5 linked regions of the Macaca fascicularis genome follow. The protein of the gene in region 1 interacts with the protein of each later gene in a pairwise test. Links are inferred from orthologs where the notes say so. Each region holds a gene or a part of one and is shown in the gene's direction. Other genes may lie near its edges.

The links.
Region 2: the proteins of DTNB (region 1) and SPZ1 interact in binary tests that used the Homo sapiens proteins (3 or more experiments, as listed by UniProt). The two-hybrid records come from large-scale screens. The link is inferred for Macaca fascicularis from reciprocal best matches to the Homo sapiens genes DTNB and SPZ1.
Region 3: the proteins of DTNB (region 1) and DMD interact in binary tests that used the Homo sapiens proteins (3 or more experiments, as listed by UniProt). The link is inferred for Macaca fascicularis from reciprocal best matches to the Homo sapiens genes DTNB and DMD.
Region 4: the proteins of DTNB (region 1) and SNTG2 interact in binary tests that used the Homo sapiens proteins (3 or more experiments, as listed by UniProt). The link is inferred for Macaca fascicularis from reciprocal best matches to the Homo sapiens genes DTNB and SNTG2.
Region 5: the proteins of DTNB (region 1) and BEGAIN interact in binary tests that used the Homo sapiens proteins (3 or more experiments, as listed by UniProt). The two-hybrid records come from large-scale screens. The link is inferred for Macaca fascicularis from reciprocal best matches to the Homo sapiens genes DTNB and BEGAIN.

The regions. Positions count from the first base shown.
Region 1 is NC_088387.1:96,815,695-96,819,194, forward strand, and holds part of DTNB (dystrobrevin beta), read left to right. Parts: coding exon 1-34; intron 35-920; coding exon 921-1,034; intron 1,035-3,500.
Region 2 is NC_088380.1:84,272,909-84,275,990, forward strand, and holds SPZ1 (spermatogenic leucine zipper protein 1), read left to right. Parts: upstream 1-1,370; 5' UTR 1,371-1,433; coding exon 1,434-2,582; downstream 2,583-3,082. UniProt on the Homo sapiens protein: Transcription factor that binds to the DNA sequence 5'-CANNTG-3'(E box) and the G-box motif. May play an important role in the regulation of cell proliferation and differentiation during spermatogenesis.
Region 3 is NC_088395.1:33,307,148-33,311,423, reverse strand, and holds the start of DMD (dystrophin), read left to right. Parts: upstream 1-1,476; 5' UTR 1,477-1,712; coding exon 1,713-1,743; intron 1,744-4,276. UniProt on the Homo sapiens protein: Anchors the extracellular matrix to the cytoskeleton via F-actin. Ligand for dystroglycan.
Region 4 is NC_088387.1:121,138,741-121,142,780, reverse strand, and holds the start of SNTG2 (gamma-2-syntrophin), read left to right. Parts: upstream 1-1,240; 5' UTR 1,241-1,392; coding exon 1,393-1,464; intron 1,465-1,787; exon of another isoform or gene 1,788-1,799; coding exon 1,800-1,973; intron 1,974-4,040. UniProt on the Homo sapiens protein: Adapter protein that binds to and probably organizes the subcellular localization of a variety of proteins. May link various receptors to the actin cytoskeleton and the dystrophin glycoprotein complex.
Region 5 is NC_088381.1:168,677,852-168,681,848, reverse strand, and holds the start of BEGAIN (brain-enriched guanylate kinase-associated protein), read left to right. Parts: upstream 1-1,197; 5' UTR 1,198-1,342; coding exon 1,343-1,384; intron 1,385-3,997. UniProt on the Homo sapiens protein: May sustain the structure of the postsynaptic density (PSD).

The DNA.
Region 1 (3,500 bases):
GACAGCTTATTGCAGAACTGGAAAACAAAAACAGGTAAGAGCGCAGAGGCTGAGCCCACTTCCAAAGTCCAGGATTATCTGATTATCATTTTCCTTGGATGGCTTTTGACCGCCCAGGAAGACCTTGCCGTGGTGAACCTAGGCTAGCCGAAGTCCAGGGAATGCCCTGGGCACTGATTTGTGTCTGTCTGCTCTGGTAGTCCACAGCTCTGCTCACCTGCCCTCGGGGGATTCCTTTTAGCAGGGCCTTCTCCCACCCATCCGTGTGACCCCCTCTCACAATTGCATTTTTCACTCTGCTTCCCAGCAGCATTTTGCTGTATCTAGTCATCTTGTCCTGACCCATTATGCTATGTAGGACTGTCTGGTCTCTCCTTAAAAAAAAAAAAAAAAAAAAGAAAAACCATTTAAAGGCACAGAGAGCAGACAGCACACCATTATGTACTGAAAGGTAGAAGCCAGGTCGAGGAGACCTGACCTAAGGTAACAGGCGTAGGTAGAGGCAACACAGCTGTCCACTGGGGCATCGGGGACAGGGGGAAGGAAGGGGCAGGTAAGGATTAAGGGAAGTCAGCACAGGACCTGCATTAGGAGATTGCAAGGAGTTCCCTTTTCCTCCTCCCTGAGTGGAACAGAGTAAATAAAGTATTCTGGCTGTAATTTTCCTTTCATGGAGATTTTTCAGGTCCTTGAGAAGAGTATTTTTATGACTTTTTCCACCACAAAGGATTGCTTTGTTGAGGAAATGTCAGGTGAAGCAGTATTGAGAAGGTGTCCATTTCACCTCTTGGCCATTTGGAAGCAATCAGAACAAGATTGGTAGAGGAGGCGCTGCTAGAGTTGAACACTTGTAATAGGGAAAGAGGGAGCGTGAGTGAGAAGCACTGTGCAGCCCCTTTCCATTCACACGTCCTCTCCAGAGAGATCCTGCAGGAGATTCAGCGTCTCCGCCTGGAACACGAGCAGGCCTCCCAGCCCACCCCTGAGAAGGCACAGCAGAACCCCACGCTGCTGGCAGAGCTGCGGCTGCTGAGGTGAGTAGGGACACTCTACCACTTCCCACATGTAATCTGCTATGGATGGAACTTGTCTGAGGAAACCAAAGGAGTGGGGAAGAATCTGTTGTTCAGTATAAACAATCCTGTGAGAGCAAACCACTGCAGAGTTCACCCATTCTGTTACTGCTTCAGATGTCTGGGTTCCATTAGAAATCACTCTACGAATGTCAGCCATTATCACAGAACTTAGTAAATACCAGTCTCCCAGCTCCGGAACCAGCGGGGCACTGTTTATACTTCTGTGATTGCTTTAAGAAGACCACTGTGCTGCAGTCCCTCTTCTTATCTTGCTAATTTGTCTGACTTTGGAGACAGTTGGCGGGAAGAATGCTTTGCTTTTCCTGTGAGTATATTTTCCTGGCTCTTTACAGTCAGTGCAGGGCTCTGCCAAAGGAGAAGGATGCTTCCTGTGCACGTCTCTGAGACATGAAACCCTTGCACCATGGCTTCTAAATGAAGTGTCTCAAGAATCAGGAAACTAAGGACATAGAATGAGAATGGGATTAGAGAGCAGTGTTACCACCATGTGTGACGCTGTTTTGGAGGGAATGGGGAAGTCTTCACAGAAATGATCTGATTATTAGGGTCTTATTGCCTATGAGCCTTAGGGGAAGGGGTGTGTGTGTGTGTGTGTGTGTGTGCACGCACATGCGTACACACTCTTCTGTAAGTTAAGATATTATGGAAACTACATTTAGTGACTTGATTCTCACCAGATCTCTAGATTTTCAAATAGTGGGTTCTTTCTGTTTAGGTTGATTTTTAATTTGCTATTATCTGGGATTCTGTGTAGCCTCTTGTTTCTTTTCCCAGAGAATGGAGATTATTGTTTTCTGTAGATAGTTTAGATTTAGATCATCAATAAAAGTTGTCATAGTAGAGTCATAAAGAATTTAAACTGGTGCAGGTGAAAAAAATCATTAGATGTATAGAGATTTTCATTCTCCTAAAAATTTATTTTAGTTTCTTCATGTAGTTAGGCTGAGATTTGGGTGGCTCTGTGGTTCACTGCTGCACGTCTGGGGTGTTAGTACAGCTGGTGTCGTACTAGGGAGGATGGGAGCACAAATGTTGCTGACTTGGGCAGACTGTAAGTCTAGGCTGTTGGCATAAGATGCACCTGTTGTCTAGTGCCTGATTTTATATCTAGAAAAGCAAAAAGGCCTGTCATCCTGAGTCTAACTGTTGCTGAAACTGGGATTGCTGAAAATGCTCAGTTAAGCTGGAAGGATCTAAAAATTATCTTAGATGTCGTAGCAGGGCTAAGTCCAGGAATGTCACATAGGATAGCAAGAAGCAGGAATGTAATCTGAGACCAACGAGCATCTGAAGGTGGAGAAATCAGAAAGTTTTTAACCTCAAAAGGAGTTCCTATATCACTGAAGAAAGGAGGGACTATTTTAAATTGTGCTGGGACAGTTGTTTATGCCTATGTACAAAACATGTTGGTCTTCTACCCCACACTAATTACAAAAACCGACACCAGATGGATTCGACATGAATACAGAACTTTAAAACTTCTAAAAGACTCGGGAGGCTGAGGCAGGAGAATTGCTTGAACCTGGGAGGCTGAGGTTGTGGTGAGCTGAGATTGCGCCATTGCACTCCAGCCTGGGCAACAAGAGCGAAACTCTGTCTCAAAAAAAAAAAAAACTTTCTAGAAGAAAAGTAGGAGAATGTCTTCAGGATTTTGGAATAGAAAGTAATATCTTAGAATTACCATGAAAGAAGAAGTTGGTAAATCCACTTATATTAATATTAAGAACTTTTGCTTATCAAAAGACACATAAAGGGCTGGATTCGCTTGTAGGTATCTGACATCCGTCTGCTTTTGATCAGTGTGTATGAGGCCTGGGACTGCCAGTACCCAGTTAGTATAATAAAACAAGGTGGACAACTTCACCCATAGGGTGAGTGGCTATGAGCCTTGCACCAGGGTTGCCTTTTCTTCCTTTATTATTATTTTTAATGGTATGTTGCTTACAATAAAATGTATGACAAATGTGCGTGTGACAAACGTTTATGAAGCATAATAGTCAAATGAATACTTATGAACCCACATCCTATTTGAGAACTCATATATGACTAAAACAATGTCATCCATAGAAGTACCTCTCCCTTACCCCATTTCCTTGCCTTCACCTTCCCCACTGGGTGAACCCCTATCCAGAATTTGGTTTATCATTACCTTGTGTTTAAAACAGTATTATCGCATTATCACTATCCTATGTAATAAACTGTTTAGTTTTGCCTTTTGTTTTCTGATCTTAATAGAAATATTGTACTAATATGGTGGGGATAGTCCCAGAGGACTTCCCTGTATACCCCCTACCCCTACCATATTAGCCTTTAGGATCATTCCATGTGGTTGGATGTAGCTGTAGCTCATTCATTTTCACCCTATACCATAATTGTTTGGTCACACACAGTACAGATAAAGAA
Region 2 (3,082 bases), on another chromosome or scaffold:
TTTTTTTTTGAGGCAGTGTCTTGTTCTGTCACCGATCTCAGCTCACTGCAACCTCCTCCTTCCGGGTTCAAGCAAGCCTCATGCCTCAGCCTTCCGAGCAGCTGGGATTACAGGTGTGTGCTGCCATGCCCAGCTAATTTTTTCATTTTTAGTAGAGATGGGGTTTCGTCATGTTGCCCAGGCTGATCCTGAACTCCCAGCCTCAAGTGGTCTGCCTGCCTTAGCCTCCCAAAGTGCTGGGATTACAGGCATGAGTCAACTGCACCTGGCCAATTTTTTAATTTTTTGAGATAGGATCTTGCTGTGTTGCCCAAGCTGGAGTGCAATAAGTAGCATAGTCATGGCTCACTGCAGCCTCAGCCTCCCAGGCTCAAGTGATCCTCTCGCCTCAGCCTCCCAAGTAGCTGGGACCACAGGCAGACACTACCATGCCCTGCTAATCAAACACTTTAGAAACATAATTGTGTCATTTTAACAAGTTACTGTGTAGAGTGTAGAAATCTTAGAGGATCAATAAAAGAGCCAAAAAAAAAAAAAAATCCCCAAATAAGTTACTGTGAAAAGTAATGGTCAAAGTTTTCTATCACCTGATGTAAATGATTTGCGAGTAAGCTTGCCAAGCCTGTCTTAAAGGATGCCTATATTCAAAGCCAAGAAAAGTCCCAGTTTGTAATTGTGTTGCTATTATAAATAACCATTCAGATAGTCCCTTCTTGCAGCAGTAGAATATTTTTGAATGGAGGGACTCCTGACATTACTTTCCTAAAATCACAAAAGGCTCTCACTCTCAGGGTTTTGTTTTGTGTGGATAACTTTCTCTTACAGTCACATCTCTCCTAGGATGGGAGCAATAAAGCCTGTGGGTGCCATGAAAGGATGGGTACCTCACCAGAGAGGACTGGTCTCAGCAATGCCCTTAAGTGGTCAAAACATGCTGCGGTTGAGGTCAGGATTGTGAGGGGATAGAGGTGAGGTAGGGAAGTAACTGAGTGCATTTAGACTGAGATGAATAGCAACCTAGAAATTGAGGGGAAGAGCTGTTGATGAGCTCTTTCTGGCATGAGGAGTAGGGGTAGCTCAAGGTGGATTTTGATGCAGGAGTCACTGGGCAGGAATTTAAGAGACTTCCATTGTGACGCTACGGATAGGCCACAATGGTGCAGTGACAAAATAAAGACCTGGTTGCTAGGGCCAGAGAATAAACACCGGGTGCCTAGAGGAGAAGAGATGGAGCCCCAGCCCTGGTCCCCTTTCCCACCCTTCCTCCCCACAAGGCTGTCTGAGATGCCACCTTCCACCTAAACATCAGCTCCCCAATTTTAATCCTTAACTTTGGTCCCTGACTTCTGCTTGATCTCCAGCCACATTTGCACGAAGGAACATCACCTGTCCATCCTGGAATCTCTAAGGTTTTCTGCTTTCCTTCTGTCCCAATGGCCAACTCTGCGAAGTCAGCTGAGATGCCCACCATCTCCAAAACCCTTAACCCTACTCCTGATCCTCATCAAGAATCTCTGGACCCTAGGATTACCATTGCCTTATTCGAAATTGGATCACTTTCCCCTTCCTCCTGGGGCTCTCTCCCTTCCCTAAAGAATAGCAGCCATCAAGTTACAGAACAACAGACTGCAGAGAAGTTTAACAGTCTCTTGAAAGAAATTAAAGATATTCTTAAAAATATGGCAGGTTTTGAAGAGAAGATCACAGAAGCAAAAGAACTTTTTGAGGAAACCAATATTTCTGAGGATGTGTCAGCCCACAAAGAAAATATCAGAGGACTTGACAAAATCAATGAAATGTTATCAACAAACCTGCCTGTTAATTTAGCCCCAGAGAAAGAAGAGAATGAACATAAACAGGAGATGATATTGGAAAACCAGGACTCTGAGAACATAGTACAAGTTTTTGCAAGAGATTTGGTAAATCGTTTAGAAGAAAAAAAAGTCAACGAAACTCAACAAAGTCAGGAAAAAGCGAAAAACAGGCTCCTTAATGTTCAAGAAGAAACTATGAAAATTAGGAACAACATGGAGCAATTACTACAGGAAGCAGAACACTGGAGTAAACAACATACTGAGCTCAGTGAACTGATAAAATCCTATCAGAAATCTCAGAAAGACGTAAGTGAAACTCTCAGAAATAATGGAGTCGACTTCCAAACCCAGCCAAATAATGAAGTGTCAGCTAAGCATGAGCTGGAGGAACAGGTGAAGAAACTGAGCCATGACACCTATTCATTGCAGTTGATGGCAGCTTTGCTAGAGAATGAATGCCAAATCTTACAGCAGAGAGTAGAGATTCTCAAGGAACTCCATCATCAGAAACAGGGAACTCTGCAAGAGAAGCCAATTCAGATAAACTGTAAACAGGACAAGAAAAATCAGAAGCCATCAGAAGCAAAGAAAGTAGAAATGTATAAGCAGAACAAGCAAGAAATGAAGGGTACGTTTCGTAAAAAAGACAGATCCTGTAGAAGCCTGGATGTTTGTCTTAATAAGAAAGCTTGCAATAACCAGTTCAATATTCATGTTGCAAGAAAAGCTCTTAGGGGAAAAATGAGGTCAGCTAGCAGCCTAAGATAGAAAATACCAAAAGCAGACGAAAAGGTGAATCCTTAAAAAACTACATCTGATACATCCAGCTTGTCAGGCATGATCAATCATCAGACCTTGGGCAGATCTGCTGATTCAACCAAGAAAAAGTTATAGAATAAGAAGATTAACACTTACATTACTCATTACCTCAGCAGTTATGTAAGTCCGGTCTTTGATGACCATTGTGTCTACATCAGGTTCATAACTTTTCACCTTTACAATCTGCTTGTTTTTTTTTTTTGTAATTATTAGATAGACAGCCTAGAGTGAGAAGTTACAGGTCCAATTAAGTAAAGATCTAAATTAAAACCAGAATACAAGGGAACATTTTTTTTTCTTTATTTAATCATTGCCTGGGGGCAGGGGGAGTTCTGGGGGAAAAAAGTGTATAGTGTTTTTGGCCAGGTGCAGTGGTATTTTGGGAGGCCAAGGTGGGAGGATTGCTCAAGGCCAGGAGTTTGAGACAAACCTGAGCAACACAGCAAGAT
Region 3 (4,276 bases), on another chromosome or scaffold:
ATGCCTTGGCCTAAACAAGGGTTTATGTTTGTAGAAAACTCACAGTACAAGATATAAAGGGGACTTATACTCTGGGCAGTATTGTACCTCATAGCATAGAGGGACACTGATGCTAACATGTAGACTTAGAGCCAAATCAGCCCCACAACAATTGTTTTCATTTTTTTCATTTTGTTTTATGAAAATTTTGCTTATATGCATATTTAGACAACCACACAGAGGAAAGGAGGTGACCTAGGGAAAAGAATGTTTTCAATTAAAATTAAGCCTTATGTTTTATCTCATACACATTTTGCTGGGGAAAATAGCCATGTTATGACAATAATATTCTAAAACGCAAAATGTATAATTAACTATTAAGGTAAACATCACAGTCTGACTCTATAATTTTTTTTTATTTTTGTCTATTACTCATTTCAGTCGCAAGCAGTTGAATGTTTGACATAGAAAAATGAGTCTGTCACTTTAACAAATGGTACAATAAAAACACTCAAACAAAAATTTTAGTAGGGATTATTATAACTATAAAAAGAATATCTTTCTTTAAAAAATGCTACCAATGTTTTCTATCAATTTGGGGCTCGCCTGTTGCATAAAAGTAATAAGGAACAAGATGAAGAAGACTTCTATTGGCAAAGAATGATTTACATGCTGAATGACATAATACAACTGCATTCACTTAATACAGAAAAAAAAGAGCCTGCATTCAGAACCATTAAATGATCATTAACTCAATGTCTAAGAAAATGGTGTTTTAAGAATTGGCAGCAGAGAAATGGAAGAAAGAATAATTTGTTAGTAAAGAAGTTTTATCATAATTCACAACTGAAATTTAGGATTTGAGAAAAATGTCTTTGCTCCATTATAAGAATATTCTTTATTTTAGCAGGAAAACATGTCCCATGAGACCTACACACACATTCTGCCTTCAGAATTCAGCTGCTGTGTTCTGCTGCTGCTTCTCTTATTCAGACTGTTGGCATCATCAATACATGACTTTTGCAATCAAAAATCTCAAGGGGAAAAAATAACTTTGGTAGGCAGTGGATACATAACAAATGCATAGATTATTCTGGGCATTTCTTTTTATTTGGTAGAGTGAAATTTTTGGTGTTGTTGAGAGGATAAAAAAGGCATTTAAAAGTCAATTTTAAATCGGGATTTTCTGCTCTGTTATAAATTCACATGAAAGTTACAGAAAATATTGTTATGGTTTTGTACTGAATAGTTTTTGTGTTTGGAAGGCTTTAAAAGCTAGTACTATGTCCACTGTGCTATTCTGGTTTGGATATTAATCAGAACACAGTTGAGCATTATTTGAATTCACAGAGCTTGCCATGCTGGAAGCACAACCTTATATGTAGTGACCATGGACAGTCCTATTATGGGAAACCAACTTGAGAGAGAAGGCGGGTCACTTGCTTGTGCGCAGGTCCTGGAATTTGAAATATCCAGGGGCCTCTACAGAATCCTGGCATCAGTTACTGTGTTGACTCACTCAGTGTTGGGATCACTCACTTTCCCCCTACGGGACTCAGATCTTAGAGGCAATTACCTTCAGAGAAAAATGAATAGGAAAAACTGAAGTGTTATTTTTTTAAAGCTGCTGAAGTTTGTTGGTTTCTCATTGTTTTTAAGCCTACTGGAGCAATAAAGTTTGAAGAACCTTTACCAGGTTTTTTTAATCGCTGCCTTGATATACACTTTTCAAAATGCTTTGGTGGGAAGAAGTAGAGGACTGTTGTAAGTACAAAGTAACTAAAAATGTATTTTACTGTGGCATAATGTTTAGTTTGTGACAAACTCACTAATTAGGTAGATTGATTTTAAATTATCACAGTAGTTTGCAAAGAAGCATAAATGTTATATATACTGCATATATATATGTATTTATTCAGGAATATATATTTTTCATTGGGAAAACTTTTCAATAGAAATTGAGTTTATAAGTTTTTCTTTGCAGAAGAATTAAACACATGATTTCTTGATTAATAAGCCACTGCAGTAATAGAATATGCAGAATGTCATTTGATTATAACAGATTATTTTGATTGCTGTGAGATAGTTTGTATATCTCAGTTATTATTTTGACTAGTTGATACTTCTGTATTTAGTAACAGTTACATAAAGGTTACTGACCTGACATATATTCTCAATTGAACTAACTACTGTATAGGAACTACATGGAGGCCTAAAAGTTAGGAGAAGTTTCTCTGACATATGGAGAAAATAAAGAATAAAATGAGTTGGGATGGAAAATTGAAGGATGTGAAAAGTATTGATAAAGATTTAATTGTAATGTTGCTTTCTCACATTTACTATTTCAAATGCTCTTTTCTATAGCATACCATGATGATTATTTCAAATAATGATGTGATCTATGCTATCAAATGATCAGATGATCTCTTGGGAAAACAACATACAAACTTGAGGAACTCCTAATTATGTTTAGTAGTAAATTATATTTAGTAGATGTTTCAAGTCTATCATGAGCTAGCTTTTCAGTTCAATTTTTTAGTTTGTCTTCCATATAGAAATGCAACTATTTTGTTTATTTTTAAGAAAGTCATGATGACTATTGAAGGATTTAAAAATGGACTGTGGCACAACAGTAAAAATAATATATGATAAGGACTGTGTGTCCCAAAAAGATGGGAGTTTATCTCTTCCCCACCTATCTTTGACTTGTGGAGTATAGTTATTCTAAAATAGATATGAGAGCGATGCCTATAATTAAGAATGAAAAAATAAGTCTCTCCAAATAAGTAATGCTCCACAACTACTAAAAAAAAAAAAAAAAAAGGCAGACGTTTTACCACTGTGAAAAATTTGTGGAAATAAGTTAACATTGTCCATGTATTGAGTCACATTAAAAGCTACCAGATTTTATAATACAACATTTAGTTACATTGTTTGCTTGCTTCATAAATTTCTTTTGGTGAGTATCATTATTGCTTTTAGATTGAAAAACTATTATATTTACTATCATTACAAAAATATGCATGGCATATATCTGTTGTTTGCAATATACACATATACACATATTTTTATTTATCATTTTTATTTCTTTGATATATGTAATATAAATACTATCAAAATCGCTAGTGATTTTATATATATATATATATTCTATATAATTAACCACATATACCAGTATATAGAGCAATTTTGAAAGAATATATGCAATTCTGCTGGAATGAAGCAAGGTAAACCTATCCTCTGCTTTGTCATAGATAGTTGAAAAACTTTCAGTTCTTCGAATGTGAAGGAAGGTAATCTTTTTGGAACATGTCCTGTAGGATTTTTTCACACTGCATTTAAAAAATCATCAAGTAATGCCTATGCAACATGACAATGAGTTTGTTAAGGAAAATGGAGATATACTCAGGGCTATATTATACATTAAATTTTGTTGCTTGACAATATACTACTATTTGGATGTCTGACATTTGAATCTGGTTTGTAAATTCGCCTTAGTTTGAAAAACTTATAAAAGTACATTTTGTTTTTTAAACAGAATAGTTACTCTGTAAAAGAGATCACTGTATTGTCAAACACATTGTATTGTTTACTTTTAGAATTACTCAAATAATGCATTGTAAAGAATTATTCAAATAGTGTATGGCAAATAGATATTTCATTTGAATATATTTAAATGATGTAAGTCATCTTGAGGTCTAACAAAATCATCTTTTAGAATTTCATTTGCAGAATCTTTTAAAGACATCTTAACTATGAAAAAGAGATCGCTGATCTAAATTGATGATATACTGTTAATACAAAGTTTTGGTGTATCTTACATGGCATAACATTATGAAAAATACAACAGAGTATGTCATATAGATGTTATTCTAAACTTTAAAAAAGACTACAAAGTGTTTTATGCATAATTACATTATTTAAGGGGAAATAGGTGTTGGTTGACACTTCTAGCTAGACAGTACTGAATTGCAAATTCATCATTTGGGCAGAGATATTAATACAGCTTCCTCTTTATTCCTATAGCATTCATTTGAAATCCCTGTACTCCACGTCATTTGCTATATATGAAACAAATTGTCAAGTTTTTAACCACTTGTGTAGTTTAATAAAAGAGATTAAAATCATTGCCTTGGAAACATCAGGTGTTTTTCAAAATTCTATTTTATTATCTTTCATCAAAATTTTATCTCAAGAGTAAAACAAACTGATTTCCCAAACTTTCCTTCTCCTCCCACTTTCTATTGTAATATTTTCCTAACTTATTAAAAATGATTTATCATACTCTTTCATCAAT
Region 4 (4,040 bases), about 24 Mb from region 1:
GAGGTCAGGAGATCGAGACCATCCTGGCTAACACGGTGAAACCCCGTCTCTACTAAAAATACAAAAAACTAGCCGGGCGAGGTGGCGGCACCTGTGGTCCCAGCTACTCGGGAGGCTGAGGCAGGAGAATGGCGGGAACCCGGGAGGCGGAGCTTGCAGTGAGCTGAGGTCCGGCCACTGCACTCCAGCCCGGGCGACAGAGCGAGACTCCGTCTTAAAAAAAAAAAAAAAAAAAAAAAAAAAAAAAAGTGGGTAGCCTTGTATGCCCCCTCACTCCCCCGCCGCACTGGAATCTATCCTAAACTTACTTTCATTTACATTAAAACGGGACGGTTTGAGTCTACCAAACCCAATACCGCATCTGTGAGGCTCCTTTTGGCACAAACCTGAATGAACAGCGGGAACCGCCGCCTCCGCGGGCGCCTGAGATCTGGGGTCCCCTCCCCACCCGGTCTCCCCGCTCCAGCCCCCGCCCCATGAGCCCCAGGAAGGCACCGCCGAGCGCCGGGTCCTCGCAGGGTCCGGGAGACTCCGCGGACCGGAGGCGGGATGGGGGGCCCGAGCTTTGGGGGCGGGAAGGGAGGGTGGGAGGAGGAGGAGGGGAGCGGGGTTGGGGGAAGTTGGGGCTTCTGTATCTTTTCTCTGGGTCAGGACATCCTCGGGCCCTGCGCTGTTTCTCCAAGGGCTGGGGAGACGCCGTGGGGAAAGGTCTGAGGATGCGGCCGGCGCGCACAGGTGTGGGGGCTTCAGAGGGCCCGGGAGGACCCATGGGCCTCGAGGCTGTGGACTGGAAATGCCCCTGATGAGAAGCTGAGAACCTTTGGCCAGGGAGGTGGGGCGGCCGGGAGAGGTCGTCAAGCCGGTCCACAGCGCGCCCGTCTGCGCCCCAAAGGAGCGGGGGTGCCCCCCTCCCATCCACCCACCCGCCGCCGCCGCGCGCCGCGGACCTCGGCGACCCAGCCCGGGTAGAAGCGCGCGCTCCCCGCCTCCAGCCTCGTGCGCCGGCCCCTGCCCCGCCGGCCCCGCGATGGTGCCCCCTCCACCCCCGCGGGAGCGCCCCTGTCCCCCAATCCTGGCACTTTCCCCGGAGTCGCGCGCCGGTTTCCCGACCCGTGGGAGCGCCCCTCTCCCGACTCCCGCGGATCCGCGCTCGCCGCCCTCCCCGCGGGTGCGCGCCCGGCCCCTCCTTCACCCGGGGCGGGTCTGCGTGGGCGGCGCTCCCGGGCGGCGGGCGGAGCTCGGGTTCCCCAGCTCCGCGCCCCGCTGTAGCCTGAGCTGGAGCCGGAGCCGGAGCCGGCCGAGGGGCGCGGACGCCAGGCTCCTGGCTCCAGGGCGGGGTCCTGGCGTTGAGCTCGGCCGGCCCGGAGCGCGGACCCAGCCGCAGGGGTAGCGATGAGCACCGAGGGACCCCCGCCCCCGGCCGCCCCCCGCGGACGTCCGGGCTGCCTGCTGGTGCCTGCGCGGGTGAGTGCGGCCCCTCTGCGCCCCTGCACCCCCGGCCCGCTTCCTTCTCCTTCGCGCCCGTCTCCCTCCACGCCCACCTCGTTCCCCGCGACCCCTTCCCTGTCTCCGCGGGCGGCTGGTCGGAGGGTGGACGCCGGAGCCCCGGGACGCAATGGGCACCCGCCCCCTGGCCGCTCTGCTCCCTCCAGCGCGGTGTCTTACTGGAAACTTGCAGGCTTTGCTCTTCGAGTGTCTTGCAAGGCTTGGTTTTGGGGTGCACGGGCTTCCCTAAACTGCGTGGGAGGTAACGCTTTCCAGAATTTGGAATTTGAGATCGGCCCCACATTCCTTCCCAGGAGCGGCTCCTTTGGGTCCAGGCGGTGGTGCGGACCGGAGCGTCCCCCCTGCAGCCTTCTGGCGCCCAGGCCGGGTCTGAGCTGGCTGGAGTGAGCCTGGCCAGGTGCGTGGCGCGGCCTCGGCAGGTGCTGGGGGCTCTTGGCCATTCGGGGAGCCGCTGGGACGCCAACTGGGTAATACGGTTTCTTTTTTGAAGTCTATTCTAGTTCTTACCCGAAATAACTCCCTCTCTACCTTCTTACTTTTAAATAACTAAACTATTGATTGACAGAAAACAAGTATTAGTTCAAAGAAAAACGAAAAGTTCTTGGAAACCTTCAAGTTGCCACCCACAGCACAGCCCCAAGTTGTGAAAGCAGTTTAAGGGAGCACGTGGCCACCCCAGCCCTAGGAAGCTGCCTGGGAGCGCGGCTGTTCAGGAAAATGCATTGACAACCACTCCTTTAGGATTCCTTCCCCAGGAGCTCCCAGTCCCCGGAGCCACCAGGAATAGGACAGCTGAGAGACGGTTCAGAAGGCCACAGGCTGAGGGCTGCTACACATTCCTATTGTCATAATAACGATTCTAAACTAGGACAGTGGTTGTAGCTACTGTGTGATGTTAAAAATTATGGAGATAGATGCATCTTCATTCAAGTCGTACCTTTCTGGGCTTTTACTACAAAATATGAAAATTAAATTTCATGTAAAATGTGGGTGTTTATTTCTTGACGTATTTGTAACATGAATAGCCATCCCGCTGTTGCCCATGGTAATCAAACCCGAGAAAGTACGCGGGGATTACCTGGAAATAAACTGCAGTAAAAACTGCAGGCGCTCTGGAATCACAGCTTTCCCTCTGGTCACCGCCTTCAGCTTTAAAATGATGCCCTCCCATGGTTAGGAATTGTGCGTTTTTCTCGAGACATTCTTGCAGCAAGTCTTGCTTTTAATCATTGTAATTATAGCAGAAGCTTTGAAGTGGATTCATCATACTTCATAATTGACCCACTTGATGAGTTATTGGCAATAACGTCAACAAATACAGCAACTGCGCGTATTCTAGTAAATGTTCTCATTTGTGCTCAGTGTTAATTAAGGGGCTGAATTTGATGTTTTCCAGTCAAGGGTGGCCTCTGCTCACCTGTTTGCTACAAGATGTGATTGGTGCTTTCTTTGTAATAAGGACCTTGATTATTTGAAACAGCCTATCTGAATTGTGTTGAAAGAAACTTTTTTTTCAGCGTTGGAAGCCAATTATTACAATAAGACGGAGCGTTTTAAGACCACGACTCCTAACTTTGCAGTCATAAGTAATTAGGTAGGTGCTGAGCCTACCTTAGACACCTTAGCCTACCTTAGACATTAGACACGGTCGTGTTAGCTCAGATTCTTATTTATTTAAAACGAATCTGTTAAGTATCGGTGTTGGCAGGTTTGTCTTGAATGTTCTTAGCATACAATGTCATCCTTGCTTAATGGCAGAGACAACTGCGCAGAATTATTTTCTTACCATAACTGCATAATATTATTCAACTTGTGTAATTATTTCATCATTTCAGTGAAGAGAACTTGGTGCTTTTAACTGGAAAAAGGTGAAAGTCTTTTCTAAATCTTACCTTTCTAGTCATTTTTTTTTCTATCTGGAGTTGAAACCGTACACATTCTTTATCATGACTCCTTGTCTGAATCATGGAATTTGGCCACATTTGAAGGTCTCCTGTTCAGTAGCAAAACTGTCTTGTGTCCCCTTTCTCGTGCCTGTTCTCGATGTCTTTTTCTAAGTTAAGTCAGTTCATGGAGCTCTGTCTCTGACCATACCTGGATTTTGTCTGTCCGTGATAAAATCCCACGGACAGACAACCCTCAGTACAATGTGCTAAGTGTGTCTTGCTTGTAGCTTCAAAGACTACTATTGGTTGATGTTTACAGCATATTTGCTGCTTTTAAATGACAGCACTACTTCTGTCTGGGGCACGGGAAGAATCCTTGACATGAGCTAGGAACGTGCCCGTTTATACGATGAGCTTGCCCACTGAAAGGGGCACATTAGGTCATTTTAAAAGTGCATTTGCTAAGGGCACCACTTAATCATCTGTTTACAGATAGGAATTGCTGCATGAGATGAATGAAGCCTCTGACCTCCTAAGAAGGTTACCCATTCCTTCTATGCTTTGGGTATGTTTCTCATCCTTGCTGACTCATCTTTAATTTCAATTGTAGAATTTCTGTTGATGTCTATGACATCATAAGCAAAACTC
Region 5 (3,997 bases), on another chromosome or scaffold:
GCAACCTACTCCCCAGATTAAATGAGAGAGTGTAGAAACTGCAAAGCATACAACATACAGCATATAAGGATGGTGGTGATGGTAGCACAACAGTGGGAATTCAATGTCCCCAAACTGTACACTTTAAAAGTGGTTCAAATGGTAAATGTTATGTTTTCCATGTTTTCTGCAATTAAAAAACAAAAATGTACAAGGTACTCATTGGCAGCATCTTCTAATCTGCCATGTACTTGGAAATGATATAAGCATGTGTGAACCATGAGCCCATAGGTCCAGACAGAGGATATGAGCAAAGCACACGGGCTTTGTCAGCTCTGTTTCCACCATGCAGGACCCTCCCCGGCTGCCAGTGCTCCTCCCGGGGTTCCCACGCTGGCTGCTGCTGGCCTGGCTGGGATGGAAGACCCTCATGTAGCTGGCACCCTCAGGGCTGCCCCTTGCCCGCTCTGGGAGGAAAGCGGAGGATTCACACTGTACCTTTACCAGGGCGGGACTGAGCCAGCCTGGGCTCTACCCGGGCAGGTCGGTGGGATGCTTCAGACTAGGGGGAGAGGCAGGGGGCAACACTGGTCCTCCTGAAGCCACCTTTCCTTCCTGAGAGCTCCCTGGGGAGAAAGAAGGCCCTGAGAGCCACCGACTGGGGGCTGGGGCAGAGCAGGGGCAGCTTGGCCAGGCGGCACCCTTGGGAACCAGGGTTTCCTCATCTGTAAAATGTGACTCTGCGAGGGCAGGAGCTTGGTTTCTCTGGCTGCTGTACCCCCTGGGGCCTAGAACGAGGCTGGTTGGTACACAGAAGGCGTCTAATAAATGTTGAGGGATTGAATGGATGGACCGATGAAAAGGTTGGGCAGGTTGTTACTGACGGCCTCTGGGTTTCAAGGGCCCATTCACTCTGTCACTCACCTTCGCGCCCGTGCATTAGTTCCCTCATTTATTCATTCCTCCCGCAGGCTCTACCGCACTCATTCATTCATGCACTCTGCCATTCATGCACGCGCGGGTTCATTCATTCCCTGCCCCTCTGCCATTCCTCGCCCGCCCCCCGCGCACGCCGCACCCCCGCGCCCCTGCCCGGCCCTGCGCCCACCACGTGCGCCCCGGCCGAGCGCTGCGGGGGGGAAGTGCGGGCTCAGCCGCGGCTGCGCGGGGCCGGGGCTGGCGGGGAGCCGGGCTGGGGGCGGGGGGCGGGCGCTCCCTGCGGGAAGCCGGGCGGGGTGGGGGAGCCCCGGCCGCGCCGGCTCCCGGCGCGCTCGGCCTCGGAGGGGAGGGGGCGGCGGTAGCGGCGGCGGCGGCGGGACCCGAGCGCGGCGGCGGCGGTGAGCGGCGCGGCTGCCCCGGGGCCATGTGGACAGGCGGTCGCCGGCCGGGCCGGCTGCGCCGGGCGGTGAGTACCTGCGAGCCGGGAGGGCAGGGCGCGGGCGCGGGCGCGGAGGCGGGGCGGGCGCCACCCACGCCTGGGGCGGTCCCTGCTCGGCGCCGGAGGTGGCCGGCTCCCCGCCCTGCTCCCCTCCGCGCGGCGCCCCCGCCGTGGCGGCTTCACTGGCCCGGGAGGAGCCGGGCCGGGTCTCCTGGGAACTGGGCACTCTCGGGTGGGGCGGGGATGCCCGGCCTCCGCGCGCCGCCGCGAGCGCCCGGGTCCGATCGCGGGGTCCTTGCGCCCTGACACGCGCGCCCCTGCGGCGGGAGGAAGGGAGGGGCTGGGGACCCAGGGCGCGGCTGGAGGACTGGGGACGCGCCGCTGTCCCAGGCGGGTGGCGAGGGTGCGGGCAGGCCTGGACCCGCCTGCGTCAGGGGGCAGGGCCAGCCCCTGCTCGGGAGGCCGGAGAAAGGCCCGGGAGCCGGAAGGAGGCTGGACCCGGGGCCGCCTCATTGAGCGTTTGCAGCGCGTGGGCGCGCACGAGCCTCGGACACCACCATCCCATTCAGTGCCTCGCGGCAGGTACTATCCTCCTGCCCCTTTACAGGCGAGGAAACTGAGGCTCAGGGAGGCCAGGGCCTCGCCCAGAGCGGCTCAGCCAGCGCGCTCACCCTCCCTGAGCCCCAGCACGTTGGATGGGAATTTCTGCCCCAGCGTTTCCGCTTCCTGCTTGGTTTAGAGGTGTTTCCTTCCTCATCTGTGCCCCACCCCATCCCCAATGTGGTTTCCTCAGGGCAGGAACAGCGTGGGCGACACGCTGGAGTCTCCTGAGCAGGCAGAATGGGAGCAGAGTGGGCACCCGGGAGCGGGCCGGATGGGTAGGGAGCATTGCACGTGCAGAGTCCGCATGGCCAAGGTCGGGCCAGTGCAGATTGGGGGTCCAGTCCTGGGGGTATGGGTGGGGCGGGGTCTCCACGGCCACGCTCCGTCGGAGGCCCCAGTGCTCTGGCTCTCTGGAGGCCATGGACAGGTCCTTTTCCTTCTCTGGGCCCCAGTTCCTCTGCCTGTCAAGAGCCGCAGCGACCCCCACCACTCCCAGGGCCAGGCTCCCACGAGGACTGTGGGCAAAAGCCCCTAACAAACTGTGGTGTGCAGCCCTGCCAGGCTGGGCTTGGTCTTGCCAACCGAGGCAAGTGGCCGTTGGGGGTGGCTCTGCCTGGCATCTGTGACACGAAGGGCGGGGAGACGGCAACAAGGGCCCCAGCAGCATCCTGCAAACCCTTAATTTTCCCGACTCTCACTATAATCAGGGCGGCTTGGAAAAGCAAGCACCGTGGCAGATGCGGCTCTGCCTGGGCTCGGAACGCGGGCTCGGGGCGATGGGCGGCTGCGCTGCTGCCCAGGGCCCTCCCCAGCTTTTGTCTCATATTTATAGATTCCTACGCTCCGCGTTCCGTTTGTCGTCAAAACCTGGAACTGTTCGCACCTGGGAGCTGAGTGGGGAGGAGGGCTGCCTAGGACCTCAGCTTGGAGGATGAGTTTTCCATGGGCTGGAGTGGAGTGGGGGGACACCTGTCAGATCCCAGGGCCGGGGAGAGGAAATGAGCCCTAAGCAATCTGGATGATCTTCCATCCACTCTCCCAAGACTAGGGCACAGGGTCTGGCCCACATAGCTGCCATTTATGGAACGCCTGCTATGTGCTGGGCCCTGGATCAGCATTTCCACGCATCATCTCCACGGCAACACTTTGAAGGAGCTTCCCTACTCCTGCAGGCACTCCTGATGTTGAAGAGTGGATGGATGGATAGACGGATGGATGGATGGATGGATGGATGGATGGATGGAAGGGATGGATGAATGGTTGGATGAGAGGGAGGGAGGGAGGGATGGATGGATGGATGGATGGGAGAGAGGGATGGATGGATGGATGGATGGATGGATGGATGGATGGATGGTTGGATGAGAGGGAGGGAGGGAGGGATGGATGGATGGATGGGAGAGAGGGATGGATGGATGGGTGGATGGATGGATGAGAGAGAGGGAGGGATGGATGGGAGGGAGGGATGGATGGATGGAAGGGAGGGATGGATGGATGGATGGATGGATGGGAGGGAGGGATGGATGGATGGATGGATGGAAGGGAGGGATGGGAGGGACTGGCTGCAGCCCATGAGTCCATGACTATTGAACATAGTCCACAAATCATTACCCAGGGTCAGAGGAGGTGGGGCCCAAGGGCTGAGTAGTTGCTGAACAGATGAAGGGGTCAAGGCGTGTTACCAGAGCTTGGCCCAAGGCCTGAAAGTGATGGGGAGAGTGTAGAGTGTTCAAGTCTCAAGACTTAGAGAGGCTGTGCCCTGCTGGAGTGTGGAGGCCATGGTGGTGGGGAGGTGTGGCTGCTCCCCCTAAGGGAGGTAAGGATCCCTGGGACAGATCGGAAGGTGACCCTAGGACTTGCCATGTTGGTCTAGAATCACCCCGCAGGGTTCTCTCCTGGCTCCCCCTCCTGCCGAGAGCTGGTCACTAGCCTTAGTGGAGAGTCCTGGACGGAGGTCTGCAGCCCTGGGTTCTGGTTCTTCCTCTGCCGCTGACTCACCGTCTCCTCTCTAGGGCTCCGTATCAGAATCTTAACACCCAT